Drosophila melanogaster: one gene and its partners. The protein of the gene in region 1 purifies or fractionates together with the protein of each later gene. This does not show direct contact. Each region holds a gene or a part of one and is shown in the gene's direction. Other genes may lie near its edges.

Region 1 (4,872 bases):
ATCTCTTTGCTCCGAGCCCCTGGAACTGTCCAACTTTTACCCGTGGTTCGAGAGGGGAGTTACCCACTGGCTGGATATTTCAATAATTAAGGCATTGAGTCGCATCCAGAAAGCAATTGATTTGGATCAGCTGAAAGCGGTCGATGAAACAGTGAAATACAGCTCCTCGGCAGTGGACACACTTTCCATATTCTACCAAATCAAGATATTTTGGCAACAACTTGACTGGCCAGAGGTCGAGGGTTCCTACATCTTCGTAGCCAAAATCGTCAATGTGAGATTGAATACAAATATAGTTATGTTATCTTTACTAATTATTATAATTTTACAGGATCTTTGTCGCTGCTGCATATTTTATGCCCAACAGATGTCCCGCAGAGTTGAGAATATTTTTATTGCTGATGATAACAATAAAAATTTCAGTAAGTTCTATTGGAAACCATTTTTTATCATATATTGTTTGTATTGAATTTATTTATTTTATAGTTTTGTCGGAGGAGTGGTGCATAGCGATAAACAACATGGATTACATCCGGCAGAGCTTACCTTCATTCATAAAGGTAGAGGTTTTATTTACCTAAATCAAACAAATTTATTGAAAACAAATAATTTATTTCAGGAACTTAGCATTGATGACATTATCAAGAGATTGGGGGAGTATCGAACTAACTTAGAGGCTGAGAGATGCGCAAGCACCATCAAAACTGTCATTGAAAATGCATTGGACACCGAACGCAATCAGATTGTTGAGCTCATAGAGATTGTGGCCAGGAAAATGGCACCGCCAATTAGACGATACTTGGCCGAAGGTGCTGAGGTGCTCGCCAAGGACTCCAACTCCATGGACCAGTTAATGATGTACCTGGAATCCTCATTGGCCACACTCTACGATACTCTCAATGAGATTAATTTCCAGAGGATACTGGATGGCATTTGGTCAGAGTTATCCATTATAATGTATGATCTAATTCAATCAAATCTTGACGTAAGTTCTGACCTATCAAGTATGAAACAATATAAAAAGAAATTGATTATCTTTTTAGAAACGCCGACCACCAGCTTTCTTCCAAAATTTGAACAATACTCTTCAGACAATGATGGACTGCTTTAAAATGGGCAACCTTCAAACTTCAGACATAAAAATATTGTCTTCAATTCAAAGTCGACTAAGGCTTTATTCCCTGGAGACATCGGATCTTATTCATCAGTATTACTTGGAGCGTCTAGAAAACCAAAAGAGCCAAGAGTCATCTCCATATGGACAACTTACCATCACGGCTCAGTTAACTGATACCGGCTTATTGGTAGGACTTCAATCATTTGAAACATAAAATCCGCTTAATGAGTTAAATATCTTATAGTTAAATATCTTAAATGCTCGCAATCTGCTGCCAATGGATTCAAATGGTTCGGTGGACTCATTTGTTAAGGCCAGTTTCATGCCCACAAGTCGATTCAACGACGTACCCACTGTGAAGACCAACGTGCACAACAAAAGTTGTTTTCCGCTTTACGATCAGGAGTTTCGTATGTAAGTAGTTACTTTTTAATTTATGCATCCATATATAAATATACCTTCATTCGGCAGAAACTTGAGTGACCACCAGCGAAGTGAAAAGAATAGTCTTATTGTATTTAGCATCAAAGATAAAGATTTATTCGGCATGTCGAGCCAGTATATAGCAGAGAGCTATATATCTTTCGCAGATCTGGAAGCGACACCACCGGGCGAGCAAATAATGATGAATCTATCCAGACCAGAGTATACAGGTACCTAATCATACTTTTGGCAGATTAAAACTGGAAACTTATACATGTTATGTGCTTTCAGATTCCGAATCACTGCGTGCCTTGGAATACAGACTAGGTGATAAGCAGGCCAAGGATTTCCTTAAAAAGCTGAAGAACCGATCCTTCTCCTAAATTGTGAAAAGTTATACGTTGTAAAGAAAAGCAATAAAACTGTATTTTTATATTTTCTACGGCAATCGTACTAAAATTTACAAAGTTGCGTTTTGAAATGGGCCCCATTTATGGACTGAAACTTATGAAGAAAAGATTTGCATTGTCTGACAGTTTTAATTACATTTATTGGAACAAAAACCAACGCGGTAATTAGTTACAAATACATAACACTCACTTTTTACGATTAAAGAGTAATTTTCCAGAGTTTCTTTGTAATAAATAATATATAAATGGTATTTGTGTTAAATTATATTATTCGTAAAGGGCTTGATACGTGCATATCAGCATGGTCTAATGGCAAAAACTACTATGGCACAAGTTTTTGCCGATGTGCCTTATTGGCGACGACGTGTGTTGCGTTGCTTATCAAATCGCATTTCCATTTCCTCGAGAACCTTTGGTGTGTAGCGTACCACCAGCTTTACAGATCCGACAGCTTGCTTTAATAGCTCTACGGCCTTCTCGTGGTTTTCTCCTTCGACAGACTGAAATATTGATATTTTGCAAGTTCTTAAGGAGTTAAGGTACATAACTGAATTAATGACTTACCACACCATTCACAGACAAAAGTTGATCTCCCCTTTTCAGACCACCATGCCTGTCAGCCACGCCTCCAGGTATTATTCGGGATATATAGATGGGCGAGTTTTGCTCCTTGCCCCCCATTACATTGAAACCCAAGCCTGAAAAACAAAAATTAAAGATTGATAAAGCTTTCCATATAAGATGTATAATAGAAACATATATTCTCGGTCTATAGACCTTTACAATCAAGGTATTGGTTTTATGATATAGGGGAATCCCCTCGATTCTTAGCTCATAGGGGCGTGTCTTACCCTCCTCCGTTTTCGGGAGCTCGACGACTCTGGGATGAGCGTGCCCCTCGCTGGCTGCGAAGGCTGCCACAGTGGCCTTGGCAGTGGCGGATGCCCTCACGTCGTGGGAGCCCTGGATGTCCACCGTCTCGTAGACGTGCTCGTACACCTCCCGCACGGAGGTCATGAAGTCCGAGTTGAGCACCTTCTGCAGGGCGGCCAGTTTTGTCGTGGGGAAGTCGCCACTCGCTTGCAGCTTTTCCAAGAGCTCTATCGATCTTTTGACATCTGAAAGTTAGAGCATTGGGTGTGAGTTTCCTCCAACTGGGAATGGTTAGCATGCACCCTTACCTCTGGACAAAGTCAGTGGTTCTGCGTTATCGGCCATATTGCTGTTCAATTTAATAATAATCAGTCAAATTGAGCTGACCTGAAATATTATTCGAGCAGCTGAAAATAATATGACCATACGTCTCAGGGGCACAAAATACCATTCCGTGAAATTATATTCTCTATTTGAAATAATTTGGTTTAATAAAATAGTAACAAAAGTTATATTTTTTATATTTAACAATATATCATATACTTATAATCTAATCTCAGTACTTTTCGTTTAAAAAATTATCTTTTGAAACAAACAAGTTTCTTGAAAGTGTGGTATTTTATGCACGTACATCCATGGTCATATTATTTTATATTGATATTATTTCCGCACCGTATTTATTTAAACTAACAATAGAATAATAGCAAAATGAGCCTGCCAGCTGCACTATTGCAGCGCCTGAAGAAGCGCGGACTTGTGACCAAACAGTCGGGTAAATACAAAGACCAGTATAGAATCCAAAAAGAGGATAACCAACTTCAGCTTTCCACAGGAGCAGCACCGATTTCAGAAGCTATAGAAGAGATTATAGCCGAGAACTACGATGACGATGACAAGAGCGGCCCTTACCCGTACAAGGAGGACACATCGCCGGAGCCCAAGCGCAGGAGCGTCGAGGAGAAGTTCTGGTCGCACCGCATCAAGGAGCGGATCGGCGTGAACGAGTCCTACCATGGCTACAAGCTGTGTCCCAACAAATACAACATATACCACAAGTGCTCGCTGTACTGCGTAAACAAGTTCAACAGCTCGCCGCTTTCGCAGCCCAGCCATAGGTATCTCAAGCGCTACAAGAGATTGCTGCGGAAGTATCCACTGGAGGCGGGCTGGAAGGATGTCTACGATAAGGGCTGCAAGGCGTTTTACTTCTATAACTCGACCACACAGACTGTTTCGTGGCTACCTCCTTCGCATCCCAAAGCACGGATCACCAACAGCGCCGCAGTGTTTCGCAGACAACTGGCCAACTCCAACGATGAGTTCAACTTCGATACCAACATGGTTCAGCCCAAGTCTTCTAACCAAAATGAACCCGACGAGCCCGACGTATTCGTTCCCGCCAAGAAGCAAAAGTCCAGGGACCTGGAACGAAAAATCCAACGACGTCGCCGTAATGATAACTAGCACTACTAACTAGCCATTTGACTTATGAGCTGTAGATCGCTACTGTTCAAATAAAAATGAATAACTATGATAGATATTAAGGTTTAAAAATGTACACTCTGCTTTATTGAATTGCTAGCTTAAGACAATGAATGGTGGAGCCGCGAACAGATTTAAATCGAAGGAACCGGAAATTTTACGAAAGCAGCAACTCGATAAAATTGTGTCGCACGAGTCGGGAAGTATGTGAAAGTTGAATTTGAGGCGGCGATTAAAGCCCTCAACATGAGGATGCGGTGGACACACTTTCACCAAACTATGTGCTATGTGTAAAGTGTTTTAACCAAGTTATATATATTGGTGAAAGATCAATACAATTATTTTTTTTTTGGGTTTATTTCAAGGTTCGTTTTCCCTTAACAACAACCGGTCGGTTTCGTATGTAGCCCTTGCGACGCTTAGAGTTCTGCAAAGAATCAGATTGTTAATGAAGTTCATTGGGAGCTGCAGGGTACACTACCTTTCTCGAAATGAAGTTTGCTGGAGGAATCGTTCTCTCCTTGGTCTTCAGTGATGGTCTATTGAACTCATGCGGCTTCTTCACCC
Region 2 (7,421 bases), on another chromosome or scaffold:
TTGCGTTTCAAGTTTTGAAATTGGTATTGGTATATCTTGAAATATATATTTTTATATTATTCAGACTTCGAGAACATATGAGTCTCGTCTATTCAAGGTGATCACATTGCTGCGTCATTCGCAAAGTCTTCAAAATATGATTCATCCGATTTAGAATAAACAACACCTTATCATTAGAAGTATACATTAATGCAAAATGTTGTTCAAATGTTTAGTTGCTAATCAAAAGAAAATGATTTCTTTTATAAATGCATAATCTTATTGCTTTTTAGAAACTCAAATAAAAAAAAACCCATTTTATTGCAAACCTTCCGTTTACTTTCATTCATTTTCTGTAATGTCCTTTTATTCCTTTTATAATTATTTTGTAGAAATCAAGTTTTGATAACTTTTTTCAAGTTACCCCAAAAATATTAGCCAACTAATGAACTGCTCACGCATCGCTTTTCCTAATTGGGAATTACGGCTCCCATGGGAAATCCTCTACAGGTGTTGTGTTCACCCAAAGGATATTTCACTGGTTAGTCTGCTCGTAGAACATGAAGTTTTTGGTTGGATTGCTGCTCCAATGGTATCTTCCTGGCATTTATGCCCTTGCCGAGATTGCCTGTCGCATAGCCGTAGAGCAGAATGTCCAGGTGACCTATCTGTACCGCTGTGCCAGCTGCCCGGCATCCTTCGATGCGGATTACTCTGCCTTGGAATTGGATCTCTATCGGTGTGTGGGCAGTAGACTGCCCGTAATCACACGGAACATGGAAGCACATGAGCTGGAACCATTTAGACGAACGGACAGCCTAAGCATCTTTCAAATTCCGGCTGCCGAAAAGGGTGATTCCTTGGTACGCCGCATCCTGGACATGTTGAATCCTCACCAGAGGCGCAAGCATATGCACAAGTATCTGTTTGTTTGGCCAAATGCCGGAAGGCATCAGTTACTGCGACTTTTTCGCGGCAGTTGGGCCAAGAAGCTGCTCTACGGATTGGCCATTACCGGCAGGGAAAATGGCACCTTTGACTTTGATCCCTTTGCTTGGGGTGGTCTCCAAGTGATTCAGCGGCTGGATGGCGAAGTGCCGTACGCAAGAAAGGTGAAGGACTTGCGCGGCTACCCATTGCGTTTCTCCATGTTTACGGATCCGTTGATGGCGATGCCCAGGAGTCCTGTGGAGACAGCTGGCTATCAGGCAGTGGATGGAGTGGCGGCCCGAGTTGTTGGCGAGATGTTGAATGCCTCAGTAACATATGTCTTCCCGGAGGATAACGAATCCTACGGTCGTTGCCTTCCGAATGGAAACTACACCGGCGTGGTCAGCGACATAGTCGGTGGTCACACCCACTTTGCACCCAATTCCCGCTTCGTGCTCGACTGCATTTGGCCAGCGGTTGAGGTGCTGTATCCCTATACCCGTCGCAACCTGCACCTGGTCGTGCCCGCCTCCGCAATCCAGCCGGAGTACCTGATCTTCGTGCGTGTCTTTCGGCGAACTGTGTGGTACTTGCTCTTGGTCACCCTTTTGGTTGTGGTGCTGGTCTTCTGGGTGATGCAACGTCTGCAGCGAAGAATTCCCCGTCGCGGAGTCATCCAGTTTCAGGCAACGTGGTATGAGATTCTCGAGATGTTCGGCAAGACACATGTGGGTGAACCGGCGGGCAGGCTATCCTCCTTCAGCTCGATGAGAACGTTCCTCATGGGTTGGATCCTCTTCAGCTACGTCCTGTCCACCATCTACTTTGCCAAACTGGAGTCCGGATTTGTGCGACCAAGCTACGAGGAGCAGGTGGACCGAGTGGACGATTTGGTACATTTGGATGTGCACATTTATGCGGTGACCACGATGTATGACGCAGTTAGGAGCGCCCTGACGGAGCACCAATACGGTCTGCTGGAGAACCGTAGTCGCCAGCTGCCACTGGGAATAGCCACATCCTATTACCAGCCGGTGGTCCGGCGCAGGGATCGACGAGCGGCCTTTATCATGCGGGATTTTCACGCCCGTGACTTTCTGGCCATCACCTATGACTCGCAGGCAGAGCGACCAGCCTACCACATCGCCCGGGAATATCTGCGCTCTATGATATGCACCTACATCCTACCAAGAGGATCGCCCTTTCTGCACCGCTTGGAATCTCTGTACAGTGGCTTCCTCGAGCACGGCTTCTTTGAGCACTGGCGTCAAATGGATCTGATCACCCGGGTTGGTGCGTCGCCGGATGCTGAGGAGTTTCTCGAGGATCTGGGCGACCAGACGGACACGGATTCCGGCTCCAACGAGTTGGCGATTCGTAACAAAAAGGTGGTTCTCACTCTGGACATCCTGCAGGGCGCCTTCTATCTCTGGTCCGTGGGGATTGGCATAAGCTGCTTGGGATTTGCAGTGGAGCACGCTCATTGGTTTTGGCGGAGACAGACACTTCGGAATGCGGTTGAAGCTAGAACAAGCTAACTAAAAATATTAAAAATTACTAAATAAAAGGTACATATATGTTTGTTATTGTAAATACTATACTAAGTTTTCAATAAATTTCACCGCTGTTTAGTTGGACATGTTGTTTTATACATTTTAATGATAAAACTGTAGTTTTATATTATTCTAACCATTTAATGAATTTAACCATTTATTCCAATTAACCTTTCTTGTAAATTTAAATGTAACGGCTTTTTATGTTGTTATGGCTTAACATTCCGCGCGTAACAGCACACTGGAGACCCCCAGTATCAGAGCATCGATAGCACCCATCGATAGTCCGATCACCAGCAACCCTGCCTCCGGCTGTCATGTTTCACTTCCGGAGCTTGCGAACAAAATAGAATCGCTAAGGCAAAGAAAACCCTGCGAGTGGCGAGTGTTTTAAGATCACACTCAAAAACAACATCCAAAGTGGTTAGTGGCAGTTGAGAGAGTGCCCAAGACCCCGAATACCAGCCGGGCAGACACGAACAACACCAGCAGCAGCAGCACCACCATCATCAACAGCAGCAGCAGCATTTCCCGCTTTTCGTTTTCGTCGTCGCCGAACAACAAATAACAAAACCACGACAAACGATGGCTGATGCCGCGGAGAGTAAGCCACTGGCCGCCGAACAGCAGCAGGCGCAGCAGCAGCCGGAGCAGCAGCAGAATCCGCCGAATCCGCAGGAGCAGGATCACGAGCAGGAGCCGCTGGACGAGCTGCAGGGACAGCAGGGCCAGCCCGCTCCGCCCACCAAGGAAGTCATCGGTAAGGCTGAAACTCGCATGTTAAACCCAATTCCCAACCAATTTCATTCATGTGCCGCGAACACATGGCGGCTGCTACCAAAATAGCAATGAAAAAAAGGAGGAAAAAAGAACAAGAAACATGCCTCCCTGTATGCGTGTGTGTGTGTGTGTTTTGAGTCTTAAAATATACGCGCGTCGGCCATTTTGTGCGGCCAAAGGCAACGCAACGCATGTATATATGTATGTGCACGAACGCTCGCGCCGCCGGCTAACCAAATTGAAAATTCTGCCTTTTGCCGGTCGTCTGTCTTTCCACCCACCCAACCACCAACCCCACCCGCTTCGCCTCTTTAAAAAATGCCCCCCCATAGGTGTACACACACACACACATACACACATGCAGAGCGAGCCAGGGCAACCCAATTTGTTAATGCGCGCGCAGCGGGAGTGCGAACGAGAGGGCAGACAGCCGGGTGTGGATGTGTGTGTTCATTGTTTTGGTACATCTATTTGCACACACACACTAAAACGCATGGAAGCATGGCTATAAGGCGATTTCAAAACACGAGACCATAATGCAACCAATAAGATACAATAATATTCGGCGACTATTACAATATATTGCCAAATAATTTGGGATGCCACTATATTTTCGCGTAAATCAACATATTATATGCATACTTATATGGTTTATTCGAAATTTTGGTAACCATAGTTTTAAATAATTGTTAACCAATAATTTGTGGTTATAAAACGTCTTTCAATGTTATTGCACGCTTCAATGAGTTTTCAAACTGCGTATTAGTTTAGTTTCAGATGTATTGCGTTTTGCCCCTCCTTTATAATAAAAAAAAAATGCAAAGTATTATCTCAAAACTACCCCTTTTGTATAATTTAAGTTTCTTATGTAGAATTATTTGTATTTTAGAAGTCAGCTCGCTGTGCATCCCTACTGTTCCCTAATATTTTTGTTGCATGTATAATGTTTAAAGGATTATAATATTTGATAAAGGAATGATTGCAACTGATCCCAAACAAGTATTATACCATTGAAATCAATTAAATGATCACACGTTTGTAGAATAAGTACCGCCAAAAATATTGAATCCCACTATTATCCCCAATTGTTTATAATTTCTACTCTTTCCCATTGCAGCCACCAAAGTCACCGGCACCGTCAAGTGGTTCAACGTGAAGAGCGGCTACGGCTTCATCAACCGCAACGACACCAGAGAGGATGTCTTTGTGCACCAGAGCGCCATTGCGCGGAACAACCCCAAAAAGGCGGTCCGCTCGGTGGGCGACGGTGAGGTCGTTGAGTTCGACGTGGTCATTGGTGAGAAGGGCAACGAGGCGGCCAACGTGACCGGTCCCTCCGGTGAGCCGGTGCGGGGCAGTCAGTTTGCAGCGGACAAGCGCCGTAACTTCCGTCCCTGGATGAAGAAGAATCGCCGCAAGGATGGCGAAGTGGAAGGCGAAGACGCCGAATCGTCGGCCCAGCAGCAACAGCAGCAGGCGGCACCAATCGTTGACGGGCAGCCGCAGCAGCAGGTGCAGTCCGGCCCGCGTCAACCACGACAGAACTTCCGCCGAGGACCACCCGGTGGACCGCCCGGAGGACCTCGAGGTGGCCCCCGAGGACCGCCTGGTGGAGCTCCCGGTGGCCCCCGGCGCTACAACAACTATTATCTGCGTCAGCCGAGACGCGGCCTGGGCGGCGGTGACGGCAGCGCCGAGCCCGGTGTCCACGATCAGAATCCCGAGGGTCTGCAGCGCGGCGAGGGTCAGGGACCACGTCGCGGTGGAGGCCCACCGGGCGGACCCCAGAGGCGCTTCTTCCGACGCAACTTCAACAATGGTCCACCGCCACCACGCCGCGACGGCGGAGAATACAGTGAGTGAACTTTGTGCTATTAGATAATTGGTATATATTATTATTAATATTATTCTGTTGCAGTTCAAGGCCAGGGACCGCCACGCCCACAACAGCCACGTCCACGTCGCCAGAGGAAACCAAATGGCCCTGGCGGTGGTTCGGAGCAGCAGCCAGAGAAGGTAATGAACTAATCACCAGCATCATCACAACAGCAGAAACAACTGAAACATCTTCGCCGAAACAAACCTACGATAACAACATCTAAATTAGTAAACATCAGCAACAGTCAGTCGCAAGCATAACAACAAGGTCTACAATAATAACATGGTGAAGGCGTCTTAAAAACTAAACAACTAACTAAAGTGCATTGTGTAGATGCATTCGTAAATAACCACTAACAACCAGAGCAGCCACACGCACCGACACCAAAAGCAGAGAAACAGCGATAAAGCGGAGAAACCACCCTAACATTTAACACTTTACACTTAACTTGGAGGCTTTGGGTCTAACATAACATTCTAATACATTTAGTTTTTAGTTACCTAACCTGTGACTAATTGGCTAACAAGCAACACACACACACTTAATTTACAACCGAAACCAGCATTTTGCTTTCATCCCTTCGATTTATTTTTGAAGTTGTACTTACGTTAATGATTTCTACCCCCCTCGCCATGTTTTCCCATGTTCAAATTCCTAGAACGGCGCTCAAGAGCTGCAAAATACAACCACAGAGAGCACTGCATAGAAAAGGATCCGAAAGGATCTAAATCGTCAACCGACAAACAAAAACATCGTCAGCAGTAGCCGCAGTATATAACTACAATCGCAGAAAAACAGCAGCAGCAGCCCATCCTCAACATCAGCGACCAATGCAACATCATGGTGCAATAAGATCAGCAAATGTTGCAGCAAATTTTGCTAAATGAGCCGCCGCGTTTTTTCGGTTTGTTTGCTTTTTGTTTAGTTTCGTAGGGCAGAGAATCAATTGTACAACTCATACCACAACAAAACTAACATCCTCAAAATTTCAATCAAATTCAAAAACAAACAAAAAATTGTATAAAATTTCCATCAAGCCTGGCCGTCGTCAAAAAATTGCATAATTGTGGAATTTTTATTGTATGAACCAACAAACCAAACACGAAAACATAAATAAATTTCAATTACACTGCAATTTAGATGGCGCCGGTATACAATTTACTTTAATGATTATTACCATTTTTTATTTATTTATTCTTGAAAGCATTGTTACCCGTTGTGCGTTAAGCAAACCCATAACTCTAAGTTACTCGATTTAAAGATCATTAAAAACGTAAACCTATACCAATAACCACACCACCACTTTGTCCCATTTATGCATCATCCGAAATCGAGAACCATAGCCATCGGGCGAAAAGAAATGAAAGCAAAGCAGAGCAAACAAACAGAAGAACGAAATCATGTAAATCACAGCAAACAAACATACAAAAAAAAACTGTAAAAGATGCAAAAATATACAACAAACGCAAGATGGCAACAAAGGAAAGTAAAAAAAAAAACTTTAAAAACGTATTGGAAAAAATAAAAAAATTGAAAAACACTTTTTGGTATTGTTTATTTGTGTAAATTCTAAACTAAAGTGTAGTTTATAAATGTTTACTTAAATCGCTATCGAATATATTATTTTATATATTTATTCTAATTTTTATTATTTATTTATTGGGGATCTACGTTAAGTGAGCAAATCATTGAGTCTGCAATATAAATAAATTCTTAAGCTAATTTACATATGCGGTATTGGCATGGTGAGGTGCTACAGGTTTGTGGTCAAGGATGTGACCGTGGAAATGCTCAGTCGCTCCAGACGACCCAAGACCAGTAGTTCATCTATGGAGCGCTTGGCGTAGAACTTTTGGTCCTCGTTCAGCCGCAGGAAGGCGTGAGCCCAGGCTTTGGCATAGGATTCCGCTTCGGAAATGGCATTGGCATCGAACTGGGCGACACTTTCCGTTGGCTTGGGTTCGATTGCCTCACCGCCAGCATCGGATGTAGTATGTTGGATGTCACATAGGTCCAGCTCGATGGGCACCTGATCTTCCGCCTCCACAATCTCAATCTCGTCTTCCGGCTCCTCTGGTTCAGTCGACAAGTTCTCCTCGGAGAAGAGCTTCAGCAGGGGTCTGGAGTGGGAGGATTCCAATTCACGTTTTGATTTCAGCTGCAGGATAATCTAAATTATGTAGTTTCAGCTTGACTTGTATGGGTATAAAAGTGCAGTACTTACAGTCTGCTCCTCCTCCAAAGAAGCCTCAATCTCATCATCCAGATCGCTGTACTGGGTCTCCGGATCCATGGTGACC
Region 3 (6,086 bases), about 18 Mb from region 1:
CAGTGTGACCAAGGGTCACGTTTGCGTTTAAATAATTATTTTTAAAATACTGAAACTCGCGGGCACTGTGGGCCACTTCTGCGTAACTGTTCCTAAAAAACAAAATAAAACGGTTATGGTTGTATTTATAATAAAAGCACAAGAGAATGCTATAGTCGAGTTCACAGATACCAGTTAGTGTAAATGCGAACACGAAATTTCAACATTTTTCTGGGAGGGATCTAATATCTAGGGGAATAAAATGAGCAAAAATTTTTCAATTGCGTCTTTAGGGCGTTAGAGCGGCGTGGTAAAAAGTTTTTCGGCAAATCGATAGAAATTTACAAGGCTAATAGAATTTTGAAAAAATTCGAAGAATTGTTCAAAAGTTTGAGCGTGGCGTTTTTTACGGCTTGAGAACGTAAGAGTGGGCGTGGCAACATGGTCTATGTCTCTAGAGGCTGTATGCTGAATCTGAACCTTCTCGCTTTTATAGTTCCTGAGATCTCCACGGACATGGCTAGATCGACTCGTCTATTGTTCCTAATCAAGAATATATATACTTTATATAGTCGGAAGCACTTCCTTCTAGTTGTTAGATACTTTTCAACGAATCTAGTATACCCTCTTACTCTACAAGTAACGGGTATAACTAGGCTGTATCCCAATCAAGAAATTTGTATTTCCATTTGAGATTTTCGGATTAGATTAAGATTAAGTTGTTTATAAGCTAAATGTTGAAAATTTTCTTCAAAATTAAAATTTAATTTTTTTTTTTTAATTTGAAATGCTACCAGCTCATCTAAAGAAGCCTCACAACTCCTGCAAGCAGAGCTACGCTGGTTTCTTCTTTGGAAAATTAATGTCAACGCCCTGAAATCTGCGCAAATAACTTTTGCATTAAGAAGAGATGACTGCCCACAAAGTAATTGCATAAAGTACCTTGGCTTGCACCTCGATCCCAGACTAACGTGAAAAAACACATAAAAGCAAAGCGCCAGCAACTAAATCTAAAAAGTTTGAAGATGACCTGGTTGCTGGTTGCCGAAAATCTGCAACCACTCTGGAAAATAAAGTCCGTTTATACAAAGCCATACTAAACTTATACCAGCAATTCAAATATTTAGATTCTACAACGCTACCAATCAAAAATATTAAGACAAATTGTTGATGCTCAATTTTTATTTCAAATGCAAGTATCCATAAAGACTTAGGAATCCCTTATGTTAAAGAAGAAATAGCAAAACATATTAAAAAATATATAGACAGACTAAGAACACATGAAAATAACTTAGCCTTAAGTTTGGTAAAACGTAATAACAACGTCAGAAGACTTAAAAGATTTTACGTGCTAGACCTCCCTGACAGGTTTTAAGTATTAAAACATGTTATGCCTAGAGTATGTAGTAGGGATTAATGGATAACTACTGCCTCTGTTAATATAAGATTAATTATAAAATGTACTTATTGTCATACTTTTTTAAGACAGATTGTAAATAAAAAGAGAGAAAAAAAAAACTTAGATGGGAGGTAATCATTCCAAATAATTTTCCAAGATCATAGTCATTTTAATCACAACATTTAATCACAACATTATTATAATCACATATTTATTATGGTTCTAAACATTTTCAAAAGTGGATATTTCCCATATTATTAGGATATTTCGTGAATATGAATTATAATAATTTTTAATGTTATGTTATATTTTATGTTTATATAATTTCCGTATTTACCCTATTTCGCCGTTTCATTTTCGTTGACAACTCGTTGTCGTCGTTATCTTGACGCACACCGTTATTCAACACTTTTTTCCTCTGAACCAATATGGCGATTGTGTAGATCTGTGTGCGTCGTTTTTGCAAAGTTTTGTGAAATTCCACGCGCTCCTCCTTAAAAAAAAAACGCTTTAAACACATTCTTCAGTAGCAAGCAGAGACCCAATCTTTCCCTTGACTTTAAACGATCTCCAAGTAGTCAATACAGCACGCAATAAGCAAGATGGTGGACAAAATTGAAATGAGCCTCGACGACATCATTAAGTCCACACGCTCGCAAAAAAAGCCGCAAGCCGCCCGCGGCGGACCAGGTGGCGCCCGAAAAACGGGCGGACAGCAGCGTTTTGCTGGTGGAGCCCGCCGCGGCGGAGCCAATGCCGGCGGCTCGCCCAGGAAGCCAGGAAGCGTGCTCAAGGGCCCGCGAGGAGGAGTGGCCGCCGGAGCCGTTCAGAAGGCCAAGTTCCCACGGGTAATTCATTGCGTTTCAATGGCCAAACGGAGCAGCCGGAGCAGACCATCCCCGTGCTCAGTTCACCAGGACAGAGCACTACCAAAGCAAGTGTCTTGCGGCCCATGATCCGCACAACAGTGCTTGGAAGCGAAAAACAGACTCAGAATCTAAACCAAAATCAAAATGGCCACCATGCGCCTTCCAACGGACGGAACAACTCTTCGAGCCCGAGCAGAGCCTCAAGTTCAAGTTCCTTTAACCCCGTTTTTACAGAATACCAAACAGACGACACCTGTGTCTTAACTTATTTTTCCTCACGTCTCACGCCTCACGTTTTCCACGTGAACCATACCCAGTTAACAAGCATTTCTAGTGTCTCCGCTCAATATGGCTGTCCTCTCTTGTGGCTAGGATACGATGCAACTGCTACTGCAACGGCTACTCCCGCCACATACATATAGTTGATACGCGCAGCGTTCGAAGACATACCCATCTACCTTCTACCTAATACTACCCCCACCTCTAGGGCGATGTGAACAGCGCTTGGAAGCACGATATGTACGACGGACCGAAGAGGGGTGCCGTCGGTGGAGGATCTGGACCCACCCGCCTCATCGTCGGTAACCTGGACTACGGCGTATCCAACACGGACATCAAGGAGCTCTTCAACGACTTTGGTCCGATAAAGAAGGCGGCAGTGCACTACGATCGCTCCGGTCGCTCGTTGGGTAAGTGCTAGTACTACTCCAGCTACCTGTCGTTAGGTGAAACATTTCGGTACATGCTGTTCATAAAATGGCGGCAGAATGGTTCAGTAACAGACATTCCAAGTAATATAAATCGGCTTGAATTGATAACAGATCAGATCATCCGATGAAGCTGCGGTTTTTATTTAGTATTTTGATTTATGCCGAAATTTAAAGCTATTGCCATGTATTTGATTTATTCACTTTTCTTTGCAGGCACCGCTGACGTGATTTTCGAACGTCGCGCCGACGCCTTGAAGGCCATTAAACAGTACCATGGCGTACCTTTGGACGGACGCCCTATGACCATTCAGCTGGCCGTCTCAGACGTGGCCGTGTTGACCCGTCCCGTAGCCGCCACCGATGTCAAGCGTCGCGTGGGTGGTACTGCACCAACTTCATTCAAGCGTGGTGGTGCGTATCCAAAATGCTACAGCAGGGACCGTGAATGATGCCCATTTTCGTTTATTTTTACCACAAACATCGTTCATTTAAAACTATTTCAGATCAATTTTGGATCTATCCCCATTCCCACAAAGATTTTTAAATGCCTATTTATTTCGATTACCTAGTATGTCTTAGGTTTCAAATTTTGTTACTTGACTTTTTATACGAAATACTTTCCTTTCTTTGTTATGTTTTCTTGTCAACAGCTTTTGTAATTATTCAAACTTTTGTTTCGATTTAATACGATGTTTGTTGGGTAAACTACGTTACTAGGTCAGTTCCACATATGAAAGCTTACCTTTCTATAATGACCATGATACGGTCCCATGACGATCCATCCTTGCTCCAATGCTTACACTATCATTCCGAACTGTTTTTTAGGTGGCCAAGCTGGTGGCACGGCGCGTCGCGGCTTCAAACGTCCGGTCGGTGGCAAGCCGGCGGCAGGCGGCCAGCGACGGGAGCGCAAGGCCCCGCCCACTGCTGAGGAGCTGGACGCCGAACTGGACTCATACATCAACGACATGAAGATCTAAATAGTGAATAGTCTGAATTAGTCTAACAAGAATAGAAGAGCAGCCCAATCTATAGTTTTAAGCCTACCATATGGACACCCCCCGCATGGTACATAAATGCAAACGCATCGACAACGCCGCGCCCAGGAGCAGATCTTTGAAAGCATCGGACATCAAATCAATCAACCACTTGCGCATTTATCCATTAATTGTTAGTTTTGCCAATGCGGCGGATGTTAAGATAACTGAAATACATTTGATGCTGTATTTATTGTATTTAGAAATGCGCTTTATCAAGTTCGACGATAAATTGATGGACCTTGTCAAATTAAACTGAATTGTAATAAATACTAGAATTAATTTCGTGACCAAATCGAATTGTATTTACTGACTCAATAGGCTAGGAGTATTGTTTAATTACTAGGCGGCGGCGGACTCCGAAGAATCTCCATCAACTTGCAAAAATAAAAGAGCCATCACTTACAATTAAATGTTTTATTTGGAGTAATACATCGATGGTTATATTGGTATTCGTTTGGACGAATTTTACAGACTATAAGAAGATTCGATTGGACACTTTAAGTACAAATGCTAAATTAGGCTTAGTAGGTGGTAGATTTTAGCAAAGTCAATCCATATCATCCGTATTTGTGGGGCGGAATCACGAGTTACTTAATTTCAACAATTTCGTTAGACATTTTAAACCTGTTACTTAGACAATAGAACAAATGTGGGACATGAAAATGAAAGGGCGAAAGGAAGAACGACTTGGAGTGCTGCTTGGCAAAATATAATCAGTTTCCCTTCTTCTTCGGCTGATCAGCAGGTTAATATAGGTAATGCGCCTCTAAATATAGGTGTATACGTATGTTATAAGCGAGTTATGTATATTTATAGTTTTATGATTCTTATGTCGGTCTGAGGATGTGATGGTGAGTCATTAAATGCTTGGCAGCTGCTTCTGCTCCCGGGCACACTTCCTTCCCTCCTTCCTCCCTCTACCAGAATCCGCCCGACGAGAATCCGCCGGGTGGAACTCGGCCGCGTGCCTCTCCATTTGTGGCCGCTGGTTTGTTCGCCGGCTCCTTGGGCTGGCTGGGTGGGGCGGACTTGGCCTCCTCCTTCTGGATGGAGACCTCTTCGCGAATTTTCTCCACCACCTTGTTGGGATCCGTGGAGCCCATGCAGGCATTGAGGTTTGAGGAGTTCTGTTGGTTGTACTTGGCACGCGGGGCGGGAACGGCCACGTCGGGCTCCGAGAAGATATTGGTGTGTCCGCCGCCTGGGGGCTTCAGCACTCGGCTGGAGGGACGGGCACTGGTGGTCAGGCCGATTTTCAGCTCGGTGGATGTCATTTTGTCGCTGCTGGTTGTGGTTTCAGTGACTGCAATGCATAACAATGAAAAGTGAATCAGATGCGGTCGGAAATACGAGTACCCTAGACTACAAATTCAGTCACGCCACTTGCGGATGTGACGCCCGGCACAATGACGCCCGTCATCCGACATCACCCCACCACTGGCAAATCTTGGCGAAGTGGAGTGAAAACGAGAGACCCATTTGTTCTGCCCTTCTGCCACCTTATCGACGGTTTCTCTACACACATATGTATGTATGTATGTATATAGAAACTCATCTATTTTTCTTGCTGCGCTGCCCTCAACTTTTTAACTTTGCCGTTAACTGTAATTGCGCGTTTTGTGGCTGTCGCACTTTCGTTGTTGTTTTTGCCATTGTTCATTTCTCCGTTTTTGTGTTAGGCGTTCGCACAGTGGGCTCAAAAAGTGCGTTTGGGCATTGACCATTGACTACAGTTCAAACAATAAAGTCCTTTGGTGATATAAAGTGCCAATAGTCAGAGTGGTCAATTAAGAAACTAATTAAGTTAATAGAAAGTGGGTTATATGTATATATGAAAATAATATGCTTTACATATCATCTATAAAACACACTTCCTCGCATCCAAGATGCAAATGACAAATATTAGTTTCGTAATGATTTTTTGCCTCGCTTATGGCGGAAAAGAGGTCGCCTCCCAGGCGATGACATCTGAGGCAAGTGCGGTGAAGAAGCATTTGTAATGATGCGTCATCCGCTGGGGGAGGCACATTCCGCCCAACTCCCGCCTGGGGTGTATCCCATTTGGGGTGGCTGTTGGCGACAACAACAA

Evidence for each region.
Region 2: the proteins of PQBP1 (region 1) and yps purify together in Drosophila melanogaster (affinity purification with western blotting; one study listed by BioGRID). This does not show direct contact.
Region 3: the proteins of PQBP1 (region 1) and Ref1 purify together in Drosophila melanogaster (affinity purification with mass spectrometry, with the first as the bait; one study listed by BioGRID). This does not show direct contact.

The regions. Positions count from the first base shown.
Region 1 is NT_033777.3:25,062,347-25,067,218, forward strand, and holds PQBP1 (Poly-glutamine tract binding protein 1), read left to right. Parts: upstream 1-3,444; 5' UTR 3,445-3,531; coding exon 3,532-3,595; intron 3,596-3,655; coding exon 3,656-4,287; 3' UTR 4,288-4,372; downstream 4,373-4,872. Other genes in the region: stac (staccato), read left to right, coding at 1-274, 332-422, 487-560, 620-985, 1,044-1,304, 1,362-1,531, 1,589-1,770, 1,832-1,923; veli, read right to left, coding at 2,301-2,450, 2,515-3,068, 3,132-3,168; Stt3B (catalytic subunit 3B of the oligosaccharyltransferase complex), read right to left, coding at 4,661-4,732, 4,787-4,872.
Region 2 is NT_037436.4:12,120,513-12,127,933, reverse strand, and holds yps (ypsilon schachtel), read left to right. Parts: upstream 1-2,783; 5' UTR 2,784-3,047; coding exon 3,048-3,222; intron 3,223-4,359; coding exon 4,360-5,097; intron 5,098-5,160; coding exon 5,161-5,258; coding exon of another isoform or gene 5,259-5,270; exon of another isoform or gene 5,271-5,779; coding exon 5,780-5,827; 3' UTR 5,828-6,254; downstream 6,255-7,421. Other genes in the region: Ir68b (ionotropic receptor 68b), read left to right, coding at 540-2,447; CG11560 (uncharacterized protein), read right to left, coding at 6,875-7,291, 7,346-7,421.
Region 3 is NT_033777.3:7,076,104-7,082,189, reverse strand, and holds Ref1 (RNA and export factor binding protein 1), read left to right. Parts: upstream 1-1,802; 5' UTR 1,803-1,980; coding exon 1,981-2,226; intron 2,227-2,734; coding exon 2,735-2,936; intron 2,937-3,170; coding exon 3,171-3,368; intron 3,369-3,782; coding exon 3,783-3,937; 3' UTR 3,938-4,286; downstream 4,287-6,086. Other genes in the region: CG1943 (uncharacterized protein), read right to left, coding at 4,915-5,271.